3 linked regions of the Lytechinus pictus genome follow. Each later gene encodes a partner of the first gene's protein in a complex. Links are inferred from orthologs where the notes say so. Each region holds a gene or a part of one and is shown in the gene's direction. Other genes may lie near its edges. The genes, in order: serine/arginine repetitive matrix protein 1-like, small nuclear ribonucleoprotein E-like and small nuclear ribonucleoprotein-associated protein B'-like.

Region 1 (3,756 bases):
ACACACACACAAATGCATGTGGGCTATCATGTATTCAGACGATATCACTCGAAACCCGATCTGTTTGAACTAAAACAGAAGTGAAAATTTCTCCTTTTACTGCTTACAAATGACAGAGTTACCCCAATTTTTAGGAAATATGGACATTATATAAATAAGAGCCTTTCATGAGTGTGAACTGTGAATTTTGACAGTCCTGTGAGAGATTTCTGCCAGAGGTTAGCCAAGCTTCGTATGTGCAGCCAGTAGAGAATTTACCATGTGGGTTGTGTGGCTGGCTACATGTACACTGTATGGTAACATATTAACACTTACATGCGATTCATTTTGTGTGTATTCTGTGTGTGAATGACAGAAATTAACGGGAGGAAAATGGTTTGCAATTTGAGTCATGGAATATTTTTTTATGTTAATGTTGGACCAGTGAATTTGACCATTTCTGGAAAAAGTTACTGGTCCAACAATGGTTTTTATTACTGGTCATGTCGGACTCATAAATCTTGCTATTTTGGAAAAATTACTGGCCCGGCAATGATATTTTTTTACTGGTCATGTCGGACCAGTACATCTTGCTATTTCTGAAAATCTACTGGCCCGACAGCGATATTTACCGGTCGGGGACCGTCGAACCGGCGCAAGTTGCGCCCTGCTGTACAGCACCATTAAAATTGTGTTCGGGATACTTCATGAGAAGTCAACGAGCGGCATATATGGTTTTTTTTCACTTTAACGCTTACATCCAAGGTATTATCAGTTCTTTGCTCCACATGGCTTCTGGTGGGGCTCGGTGTAGGTGAGCTCTAAATCAGTAAAAGTGCCGGTTGACATTGGTTATCAGTTTAACATTGAGAATCAGTTCATGATGTCTGGTACACAAGTAACCTTATTTTTCTCTACATTCTCCAATTTCTTACAGGGCACCAGTGCCGACCAAGACAATCGCTTCACAAATAAGAAAAAGAAGCTGTTGAGATCGCTCAAGTTCAACCCTATTATGGAGAGGAAGGTATGTTCTGAAGTATTATTCACCTACATGTATTAAGCTGGGGGGGTTATAAAGAGGCAAGATTTTATGCAACTGGGAAGAAGCCACCTCTTGGCTTGGTGTGTCTATGGGGTGTTGCAAGAAACCTGCGATCAATTGTAAGTCTATTTTTGACGCTACATCAATTACTTGGCTTGTAGTTAATTGCAAATTAGTGATTGATTGCTAATCTACTCCTTGAAACAAGTAGTTTAATCCGATTTGCTACAGCTAACGTTGATCTATCAGTTGTAAAATTGCAACAGAATATTTGCAATTGACCGCAAATATTTTCTTGCAACACCCCCATCCGCAAAGTATACAGTTATTGCTCTGTTCATCCTGCTGTCTCTATGAACCAGATTTGGGAATTCATTCCAACCAAGACTTGTAATCTTTAGAAATGTAAACTTATAAAATATCAAGTATCTAGTAGTAGTGACGGGAAAATGAAAAGACTGGTTGTTTGAGAGGTGTTTGCCAATCACTTGATCTCTGACTCCGACCATTTGCAATGGGCTGTCCCTATTCCCTTTATTTCATCAATTCTGTTGTTCAATTTTCTCTAGGTGAGCATGAGTAAGGTCAACTTGGATACACTAAAACCATGGATTACAACGAAAGTCACCGAGATGCTTGGAGTGGAAGATGATGTCCTCATTGAGTTCATCTTTAACCAATTGGAAGAAGAAGTAAGATGTCGCCTTTTCTTTGTCTAGATTGTATATAGTCAACTCTGTGTTAAGGTTAAATTGATTGATGTTTTAATCATTGTACTGGTCAATATTTTGTGGTCATTATTTCATAGGTCAAGTGTATAGTAGCCATGGTGAGAACTCATTAGGTTTTGTCATTGGTATAGGTCATCTTGTGCAGGTATTTATAGATTGCTTTCTATGCTTTTCGATAAGACACATTTTTATTTTAAGTTGAACTACATTTAAGTATGCTGTTCACAACAAAAGAGTAGTGATGTTTGTGGTATCTTTAATAATGTGCGACTGCATGGCCTAAGGTAGCTAATAATAGGTAAGCAAAAAAAGACGAGGCAGAGCAAATGGGATCTTATTCAGGTAGGAGGAATAATGCACATCCAGGTGGGTGTTTCACAAAGATTTAAGTATGACTTAAGTCGCACTTAAATGCCGACGCGTACATGATATGCAACGGGCGATCTTTTTGATAGATACACAGTAGTGCGCTTCCTAATGACACGATCTGACCAATGCGGTCAAGCCTTTCATACCGTACGCAACTGGGTGTTTAAGGGCGACTCTAAGTCATACTTAAATCTTTGTGAAACACCCCCAGGAAACATAACATAAAGCAAAGCGATTGGACGTGGAGCTGATTTAATTTACTGACTCACCAGACTCTAGACTCAATGCTATCAATTGTAGACAGCAGCCCTGTGATCAGTTGCTATAAAGCTTTATGTTACCGGGCCCAGCAAAGGAACCTACTTCTTGCGTGAAGTGTCCAGTGGAATCCTCTCCGACCCCCTCCTCCAACATAGTGATGGTTAATTATTGTTAGACAGGACAAGCTTTTAAAACTGATGCTGATTACAGGTAAGTATTCAGTTTTGAATTCAAGAACCTTTTGAGGAGATTATATATAGAAGTCTTGATTGGTAGGTAAAGGCTTTTGAGTTCTTGAGCAGTTGAGCTACATGTACACAGATTTACTATGTATGTAGCACTTTTGGCAAGACCCGATTGTCATGCAATGTTTTGCACTGATAACGGGAAATATTAGTGCTTCTTATTGAGTATCTTTGTTTTAATCCTACTCAAGTATGATTTTAGATCATTTTGCCAACCAAAATGATGAATTAGTTTAATGCTGGCCCACAAAATTTACTCTATGAAAAAAAAGACGAAGTCAATTAGCCCGTTGGCAGTTAAATGAGCCGTCACATGAACTTTTCCCTTTTACATGCAGTTTGTAGTGGTAGGTAATGATGAGATGCCACTGGAGAAATATTCAACAAAAGGTAATCTGAAGAAAAAAAATAGTTTGTCTTGTATTAGTATGTAGTATGTTATTTTTCTATGATTTTGTGCTATTATAACACACTGACCATTAAAAATCAGAATTAAGAATGTTGCTAGATGAATCTTATAATGTACCTATTATGTACAAAGAGATTCATTTACTTCATGGACCAGGCGATTGAGACAAGTAAGTAATACATAACTTTAATGTTTTCATCAATTTTTGAGTTCTTACCATGCTACTATACTTAATACGTTATGAGCTGATCAGATTATCTATGTGACGACAATAAAATTTAAGAAATTTGGAAATTGTGACCCCCCACCGAATAAAAGAAAGAAAAATAATTGTTTTGAAGAAAATATAATATTCTGATTCATGATTAATTGTGTGTGATTTGCTCATAACTCAATGGAAGTTTCCCCCCTTTTATATGTTTTCACATTTAAATTTTATTGACATTTTGATGATTTTATTTCAGGATTTAGTTTCATTCCCTCAGACTGCAAGAGACGGTAGAGTACATTAATAGTATGTCCAATATCAGCAAAACAGTATGGCCATCTGTAATGAAATAAAATCATTTATGAATATAGAGCTTTACACAGAATTTGGTCTTAGCATTTCGTCACAGAATGGCTATAGTCTTCTTGTATTTTCTTGCCAAAACAAGGAGTATTTACATAACAGGTCAATTCAGTTGGGGTTAAAATGTGTTTGAAATTAAATTAAAT
Region 2 (3,756 bases), on another chromosome or scaffold:
TGAAGAAAAAATTATGACAGTGGATTTCCATATAGTTGAGATTGATTCGATCAATCGTAACTCTTTGTAAGACGGGGCCCTGATGTGGAAAACTATGCACAGTGCTTCGCAGCAATTGTTCGCAGTCTTCTGAATCAGACATATATTGTTACATTTCAGACTCATTAAAGCAAAGGGGAAGTTCACCCTGACGAAAAGTTTGTTGTAAAAATAGAAGGAAAAATAATAAAAAGATATTGGTGAAGAAGTTATTAGAATTTCAAGTTTTTGATTTTTGACGTCATAAACGAGCAGCAGCCCATATGTTATGTAATATAAATGCTTAAAGGAGAATGAAACCCTTGAAACCAGCTGAATCCATATCAAAGAGAAAAATCAAAGAAACATATTGTTGAAAGTTTGAGGAAGATTGAATGAATAATAAGAAAGTTATGAGCATTTGAAAATTGAGATCACTAATGTCATGTAGATCCTCCCATTGGCAATGCAACCAAGATCTGTGATGTCACACACGTACAACTCCCTCATTACTTTAGTACTTATTTCACTTATATTCTCACTTTTATAGAGTCTATCACAAGGTGAGGTGTTCTCTTTATGAGAGGACAAGTACAGAGGTTTCACAACATTATATCATTGATGAATCGTTTGTCATATGATTAGAATGAGCAAAAAGAGATGTTTTGGGGTACATTTTCAGTGTCCAAAAGGGGAGAGTTGTCCAGTTTTGGACACTGAAAATATACCCCAAAACATCTCTTTTTGCTCATTCTAATCATATGACAAACGATTCATCAATGATATAATGTTGTGAAACCTCTGTACTTGTCCTCTCATAAAGAGAACACCTCACCTTGTGATAGACTCTATAAAAGTGAGAATATAAGTAAGTACTAAAGTAATGAGGGAGTTGTACGTGTGTGACATCACAGATCTTGGTCGCATTGCCAATGGGAGGATCTACATGGCATTAATGATCTCAATATTCAAATGCTCATAACTTTCTTATTATTCATTCAATCTTCCTCAAACTTTCAACAATATGTTTCTTTGATTTTTCTCTTTTATATGGATTCAGCTGGTTTCAAGGGTTTCATTCTCCTTTAAATTTCACATTTTAATGGTTCGTAATGACTTTTTCTTTTCTTTTTTAGGAGTGGGTGGGAAATCATGTGTTTATTAAATACATACTGAAGATATATAATTTGTCATAAAAACCATTTTCAATTTTCAGAGAAAATGAAATTTCATTGATTTTTTACCATACAATATGTAGGAAAGCTGCTCGCATATGATGTCACAAATCAAATAATTTGAATTCTAATGACTTATTTATTCTTTGATGGATTTTCCTAAAACTTTTGCCAATATAAGAAGAAGAAGGAGGAGCAAAATTGGATTAAGAAGAAGATGGAGGAGAAGGATATGGGGTAGAGAAGGAAAGGATGAGGGATATAAGAAAATCTCAGTTGAACTCATTTTATCTTTTTCAGTCAGGACTGAAAAACATATATGTCGCCCTCTAGCGCTCTAGCGAGGGACAGTTTAGTAATAGCTTTTGACAAAACACATGTGAACGCGATCTCCACGAAGCGGGAACGATTCTGCATTGTTTGTTCTTATTTCATCGATCAGATCTAAGCTGTGAAAATGGCGTATAAAGGGCAGAAGGTCCAGAAAGTGATGGTCCAACCGATTGTATCCTTTTAAAGAACTAATACATGCTCCTTTTCTCGTTATAATGTATCTTAATGTGTGTTTGTTTTCTGTTGAATATGAAACTGCTCACACTTACACTAACGTGTGGGACTGAAGTTAAATTGTGGTTGCATCTGCTGTGCGCTGTGTAGCGGAAAACAAAAGTCGGACTCAGTCTCAGAGTCAGAGGTCGGACTAACTTGATAATAAGACTAAAATATACAAAACAGATTTTCCTTTCCTTTTTACACAGCCCCCCAACATTGATCAGTATTTTAGTAACTTGGCCTGGCCAACAAATTTATTAATGGGGGTTGAGATTAAAAATGGGGAAAGGACATTTTGGTGAGTGACGTGACTGGTTTGCTTCGACTTTGTAAGTTCCACTAAGTTACATTGTTAAAAAAATTTGTTTCTGTCGACATGATCGATGTCTGATAATTCCTCATTAAATTCCCTTTCTCTTTCTTTGTGTCGGCCTTCCATCCTTGTGCTTGTCAAGAGACGTTGATAAGTCAATTCATTCAATTATTTATGGAATACATTTATTTAATTTTACAATTCATTTTTTTGTTACAAAAAATGTAGCATGTAACTGTGAGTCCACAGTGGTAAATCGTCCATAGACTTTACAACGGATAGACCGTCTCGGCTCAGCGAATCGGAGACCGCTGATTGGTCAATCGCGCAGATCACGTCATGACTACGTGGTCGCCAAAATAATTCCCTCGGACTGCGTGCGAAAGTATCGATAGCGATAACGATATCCGGTCACATTGTTTACGCGGGAATTGGTCTTGGTTTGCGATCGGATCGCTCCAGTATCGATTGAAAATTATCGAGACACGGCAATTTCATGCAAATTCACGCGACGCTCCGAAACCCGGAAATCAATTGACTTTGTGCACGTTGCGATAGACTCTACAAACTCCAACGAACACAATGCCATATCGACGCCAGGGGTGTGAGAGTTCAGATTTTAATCTGATTTCAGATATTTTTGTTTTGATTTCCAGCTTAATTTCAGCTTATTTTTGGCCTTCCTCTGTACAAAAAGTATGGGAGCTCTTTCTATTTCAGACTTTTTCAACACTTCAGCTTTTTTCAGATCTTTTTATTTGTGACCACTCACACCCCTGCGACGCTAATTCGTAAGATTTTGACGGAAAAGCAAGAAGTAATCGAAATTCGCTTACCTGTGCGGTATCGGTGAGAAAAATAGATCCTCCGAGAATACCTTTCATAATTCATATAAAATATAGGAAAGGGAAATTCTAGGTCGATTTTTGTACGAGGTGATAGAGAATTGCACACTTGTTTTGGTGGAATACTGTGTGGGGCAATGGAAGGCTTGCACTGCGCATGCTTACTATATTTTCATTCATAAATTGGCTATCGGCAGTGGCTAGATGACGTCATGTAATAAGCAAAATGTACACGCCCGCTAGCGTTGAACGCATCGCTATCCGTTCTACACAATTTGCCACTGTGGAGTCTCAAAATTGGAAAAATATGGAGGGAGGCATATGTTTGGAGTTGGGAGAGCGAAAATAAAATGTTAAACTAGTCTGGAGACTGATGCCAATGTACATGTCCCAATCTCATATCTCTCCGGTGAGCAACAAAATTTCAAATGAATGGTCCTGGGGCCGATTGCACGAAAGGGTCTTTCCAAGGACCGTCTTTCGTGTCGCCCATCTTTTATGATGCGCTATAAGCGGAGTGTTTCTGAAATTTATGATAAACAATACAATTCGTAAGCTTGCTTTTAAATAAAATTTTATACAATTTCATGAGATATCACATCATTTCATAAACTAACATTTTGTTTATTTTAACGGATGAGTAAAATATGTTTGCAGATAATTTATTTGAAATGCGTTTCACATGGCGCATCATAAAAATTGGGCGACAGGAAAGACGGTCCTTGGAAAGACCCTTTCGTGCAATCGGCCCCTGAACTCCTGATAGCTTCAGTCTCTGTTTGGTGATTGGTCAGTTCTGCTGGACTATGTGATGTCGTTTAGGGGGGAAAGAGAAGGAGAGAGAGGAGAAACC
Region 3 (3,756 bases), on another chromosome or scaffold:
GATATGAATTTAATATTTGACGTAAAAATCGCTATTTAACAAAATATTTATTAAAAATAAAAAATCAAACAAAATAAAAACGCCTTGGACACAGTGCAAAAAACCTAACAATTTGGCCGCGTTCTTAACAACTATCGTAAGGGGCGCTCTATTTATAAATAAAGTTGCATATGTAGTTGTCTACCGCGACAGGAACAGCCGCAGAATTGAAGCCAGAAGCGTGGGAAATTGCCAGAAAATTCAAGAAAAGAACCGGTGAGTACCGATTTAACAGTACTAATTTATTAAGTAACATTTATTGAATCATTACAAGATTTATTTTTTAGTAAAACAAAGCTTAGTTCTAAGCTAGGGCGGCCCAAATGCGCGTGAGTGGAGTCCCAGTTTATTAGCACGGGTAAGTATTGGGGTGTCGCCTAGAGTGGATAGCAAGCCGTTTGTGTATAATAAGGAGAAATTAAAAAAAATAATTTTAAAAGTGTCAGAAAACTCCTCGAAACAGAGGGCTGCCAGCTGTCTAAGTTCAGCACTGCCACTGGTAATCCGACCTTACCTCGGGCGAAGTTCATGCAGGCTCCGCTCCACTACGCTCGTAGCGTAGTGGTCAGTGGTAGTGAAGTGGAGCCTGCACGAACTTCGCCCGAGGACGAGGTATCGTAACCCTCAGCACTGGCACTGCTACCGCGTTTACCGAACAGCGGCATAGCCATAGGCATAGCCATAGCCAGGCAGAACGGGCGCAGGCACGGGCAAAGTCCGCGGGCCCGGCGCGCCCGCCGGCTGGTATGGAGACGGAGTGCAGTTGGCGCCCAACCCAGACAAATGAGACAATGCTAAAAAGAATTACTAAGCATACGTACAGCCTGGTCATAGTTCCAGTCAACATCTCCATATTCGTCTTCATCCATTTTCAATTCAAGAGATGAAGTTAGAACTGATAAAATAGTCTCCTATAGAGTCCTAATGCAAGACATCGACAACGTAGAAAAGTATGGCCATGGGCGCTGCCATCTTTGTTGTGCTTAAGGACCAATCAAATCGTCTGTAAATTCCCACTTGACAAAGATGGGGTCTGAGACGGACTCTGTAATTGGTTTAATTTCCGTATTGCGCCGCGCGTGCTGTTTGGCGTCATATATTTGCATATATGCTCGCGCTGCTCGAGCCAGCTAGCTGAGCGTGTCGTTTCGCGAATGTTTGTGACGGTCGACGAAAGCAGTCAATATCCTTCTACATCGGGGCTATAACAATCTTTCAAAATGGTAACTATATATTTATATGAATAATATACATATATGCGATGAAATGTATTACGATTTATTTTAATTTATCTAATGAAGCTCACAATTTGTGACTTATTGCGGGGATGTGTGTATTCGAAAACGGTGTCCCACATGTACATATCTGTGTATGTTTCGGTTTTCTCTTTGAAACTAAAAATGGCATTGATTCGGCTTTCATAGAGACTTGTGAAGTCGTTGAAAACAAATTAGCTGTTGTTGTTTTTCAACTTAATATGGCTCTAAATCGTAGAGCTCTGCATTCCTTACCTTACTTGGCCAATTCAAGCCAGATACGGAACGCAGAGCTCCACGTTAACTTTGTTAATGTTACTGTTAGAAAGAATTTTGGTATCTTCTGATCTTGATTCTTGTAACTTGTATTAATTCATTGTATTGTATTTTAATCCAGTTTTGGCTTTTGAGTTGTGGAGCTCAGCCTCGGGAGCTTGAAAAAAAAACTGTTGGACTAAATTTCAAAATTGTATGTGTTGTAAAGAATTATAAAACAATCTGAAACTGAACTTTGCACTTGATCTAATTCTTCACAAATTTTGTGATGTTACGGCGCCAATGCAATTTCACACTGGCCGACTTCGAGTCAGAAATTGCTTGCAAAATTGTCATGGCAAGTAAATTCAGTCACATTTTGAGGTCAATATGCCCCTGCGTTTCTGAATATCGCGATCGGGAATGGTTGTAACTTGTAGAGTAAAGTGCCCAAATATCCACACTTTTTATTTTTTTTAATTTATATTCAATTCAGTTCATTTTATTCAGTCATTTGATCCAAAACAAAAATACAATCATTGAATCAAATATAATTCATGTAGGATCTATGTTTTCTGTGGTATGAATGTTGAATTGTAGTAATGTCATAAAAAACAATTGGAAGAATATGGTAAACAGAATTTATTTACTTAGGATCTACTTACATGTAGTCTTGAGGACTCCATGATCATGATGATGATGTTTTTTTTAATATTTTGACATATATTTCTTCATCGTGGAGTCTTGAATCCCTGTCCATATATGCAAGGCTCGACATTAGCGGTGGCCTGGGGCCACCAGAAATTCACCTCGGGCAACCATTATTGATAAAATGTTAAGTTTTGGTGGCCCGAATCGGACAACCAATAATTTTCAAAGAAGCGCAACTTTTCTCCCGATTTTGCACGCATTTATCAACTTTCTACAGTTCAAATTGCAACCCAATTCGTCATGCGCCCTTTTTGTTGATCTACACACAAATACACACACACAAAGTTTGCATATTAGGCCTACAGCTATAGCATACAGTAGCTATTATCCAGCCAGCCACGCCGGCTGGCGTGAGCTTTGCATGAAGCCACTGCATACAGCTGTGCTCTAGATGGAGCTCCGATAAAAAATGTTGCTGCTAAGAAATCTTCCACAGAACTTTGAAAATCTGAGTCAAAGTCACATTTTACACCAATGAAATGACATTCTACAGTCTATATTACGAAAATTTGGTGTACCCTGATTATTTGCAAGCATTAAGAAGAGGAATTATGACCTCTCTTTTGACTACAAAAGACCGATTTCCAAATGAATTAAAACACATAAAAACACATAGGCAAGTACATCACAGTCCCACATGTGCATTTGTATGTATGTTGATACTTGGTTTCTTTCGAAGCTGTGTCTTTTCTAGCCAAAAATAAACAGACAGTTTCTTTCTTTCTTGTTTATAAATGACTTCTTAAACCACTCTTGAGAAAGTAAATACTTTGGGAAGGCATTTCATTGATATGAAATGTGAATTTTTCCAACATTTTGGCAAATATAGGGAAGGACTTTTCTCACACTTTTTTTCCAGATATAACTTTTGCTGTTTTCTTCTTATTTTTTTTTCTATCATTTTTTTTACAGTGGTTAAACCATTTATACCCCTTCCCATTGAATATGCCTGATTAAAAAATATGTTTCTACTGAAAAAAAAATAAACTAAAGGATATAAAAATAGAAATGTGCCATTCCCAGAAGGTAAGTGAACATTATTTGCTTGGCTTTTAATTATATTCCAGTCAGAATAGACTGTTGCCACAGCTGTTAAAAAATATTCGTAATGGCTTCTTAATTTTCCCCTTTTCCCCATGTTTAAATTAAGTTTGTTTTATTCATTTTTCTTTCACTTTTTTTTTTTCTCTCTAAATTTTTTCTTTTCTTTTTTTCCCTGTTCTTTGTTTTTTCTTTCTTCATTTTCTTTCTTTTGTTTTATTTCACTTATTTCTTTTATTATTTTTGTTTTCTTTTTGTAATATACTTTTTGAAAATTATTTTCATTTGTTTCCCCCTTTTATGCATTGTTCTAATTTTGCAGCATATATTTATGTGATTTTCTCCTGCTATAATATGCTTCAAAAGAGAAAACAGAAATAAACTGGATTTGGGGCCTGCATAATCTAGGTTTTAGGATTCAAAGAGGAAGAAATGAAAAACAATTGTTTTGTAC

The links.
Region 2: serine/arginine repetitive matrix protein 1-like (region 1) and small nuclear ribonucleoprotein E-like share a complex: the UniProt entries of both Homo sapiens proteins name them as parts of the minor spliceosome. The link is inferred for Lytechinus pictus from reciprocal best matches to the Homo sapiens genes SRRM1 and SNRPE.
Region 3: serine/arginine repetitive matrix protein 1-like (region 1) and small nuclear ribonucleoprotein-associated protein B'-like share a complex: the UniProt entries of both Homo sapiens proteins name them as parts of the minor spliceosome. The link is inferred for Lytechinus pictus from reciprocal best matches to the Homo sapiens genes SRRM1 and SNRPB.

What each region holds. Positions count from the first base shown.
Region 1 is NC_087248.1:16,740,667-16,744,422, reverse strand, and holds the start of serine/arginine repetitive matrix protein 1-like, read left to right. Parts: upstream 1-847; 5' UTR 848-859; coding exon 860-1,006; intron 1,007-1,593; coding exon 1,594-1,716; intron 1,717-3,503; exon of another isoform or gene 3,504-3,553; intron 3,554-3,756. UniProt on the Homo sapiens protein: Part of pre- and post-splicing multiprotein mRNP complexes. As a component of the minor spliceosome, involved in the splicing of U12-type introns in pre-mRNAs. Involved in numerous pre-mRNA processing events.
Region 2 is NC_087263.1:5,426,977-5,430,732, forward strand, and holds the start of small nuclear ribonucleoprotein E-like, read left to right. Parts: upstream 1-1,535; 5' UTR 1,536-1,650; coding exon 1,651-1,698; intron 1,699-3,756. UniProt on the Homo sapiens protein: Plays a role in pre-mRNA splicing as a core component of the spliceosomal U1, U2, U4 and U5 small nuclear ribonucleoproteins (snRNPs), the building blocks of the spliceosome.
Region 3 is NC_087246.1:62,260,964-62,264,719, forward strand, and holds the start of small nuclear ribonucleoprotein-associated protein B'-like, read left to right. Parts: upstream 1-1,155; 5' UTR 1,156-1,259; coding exon 1,260-1,262; intron 1,263-3,756. Other genes in the region: negative elongation factor D-like, read right to left, coding at 861-908. UniProt on the Homo sapiens protein: Plays a role in pre-mRNA splicing as a core component of the spliceosomal U1, U2, U4 and U5 small nuclear ribonucleoproteins (snRNPs), the building blocks of the spliceosome.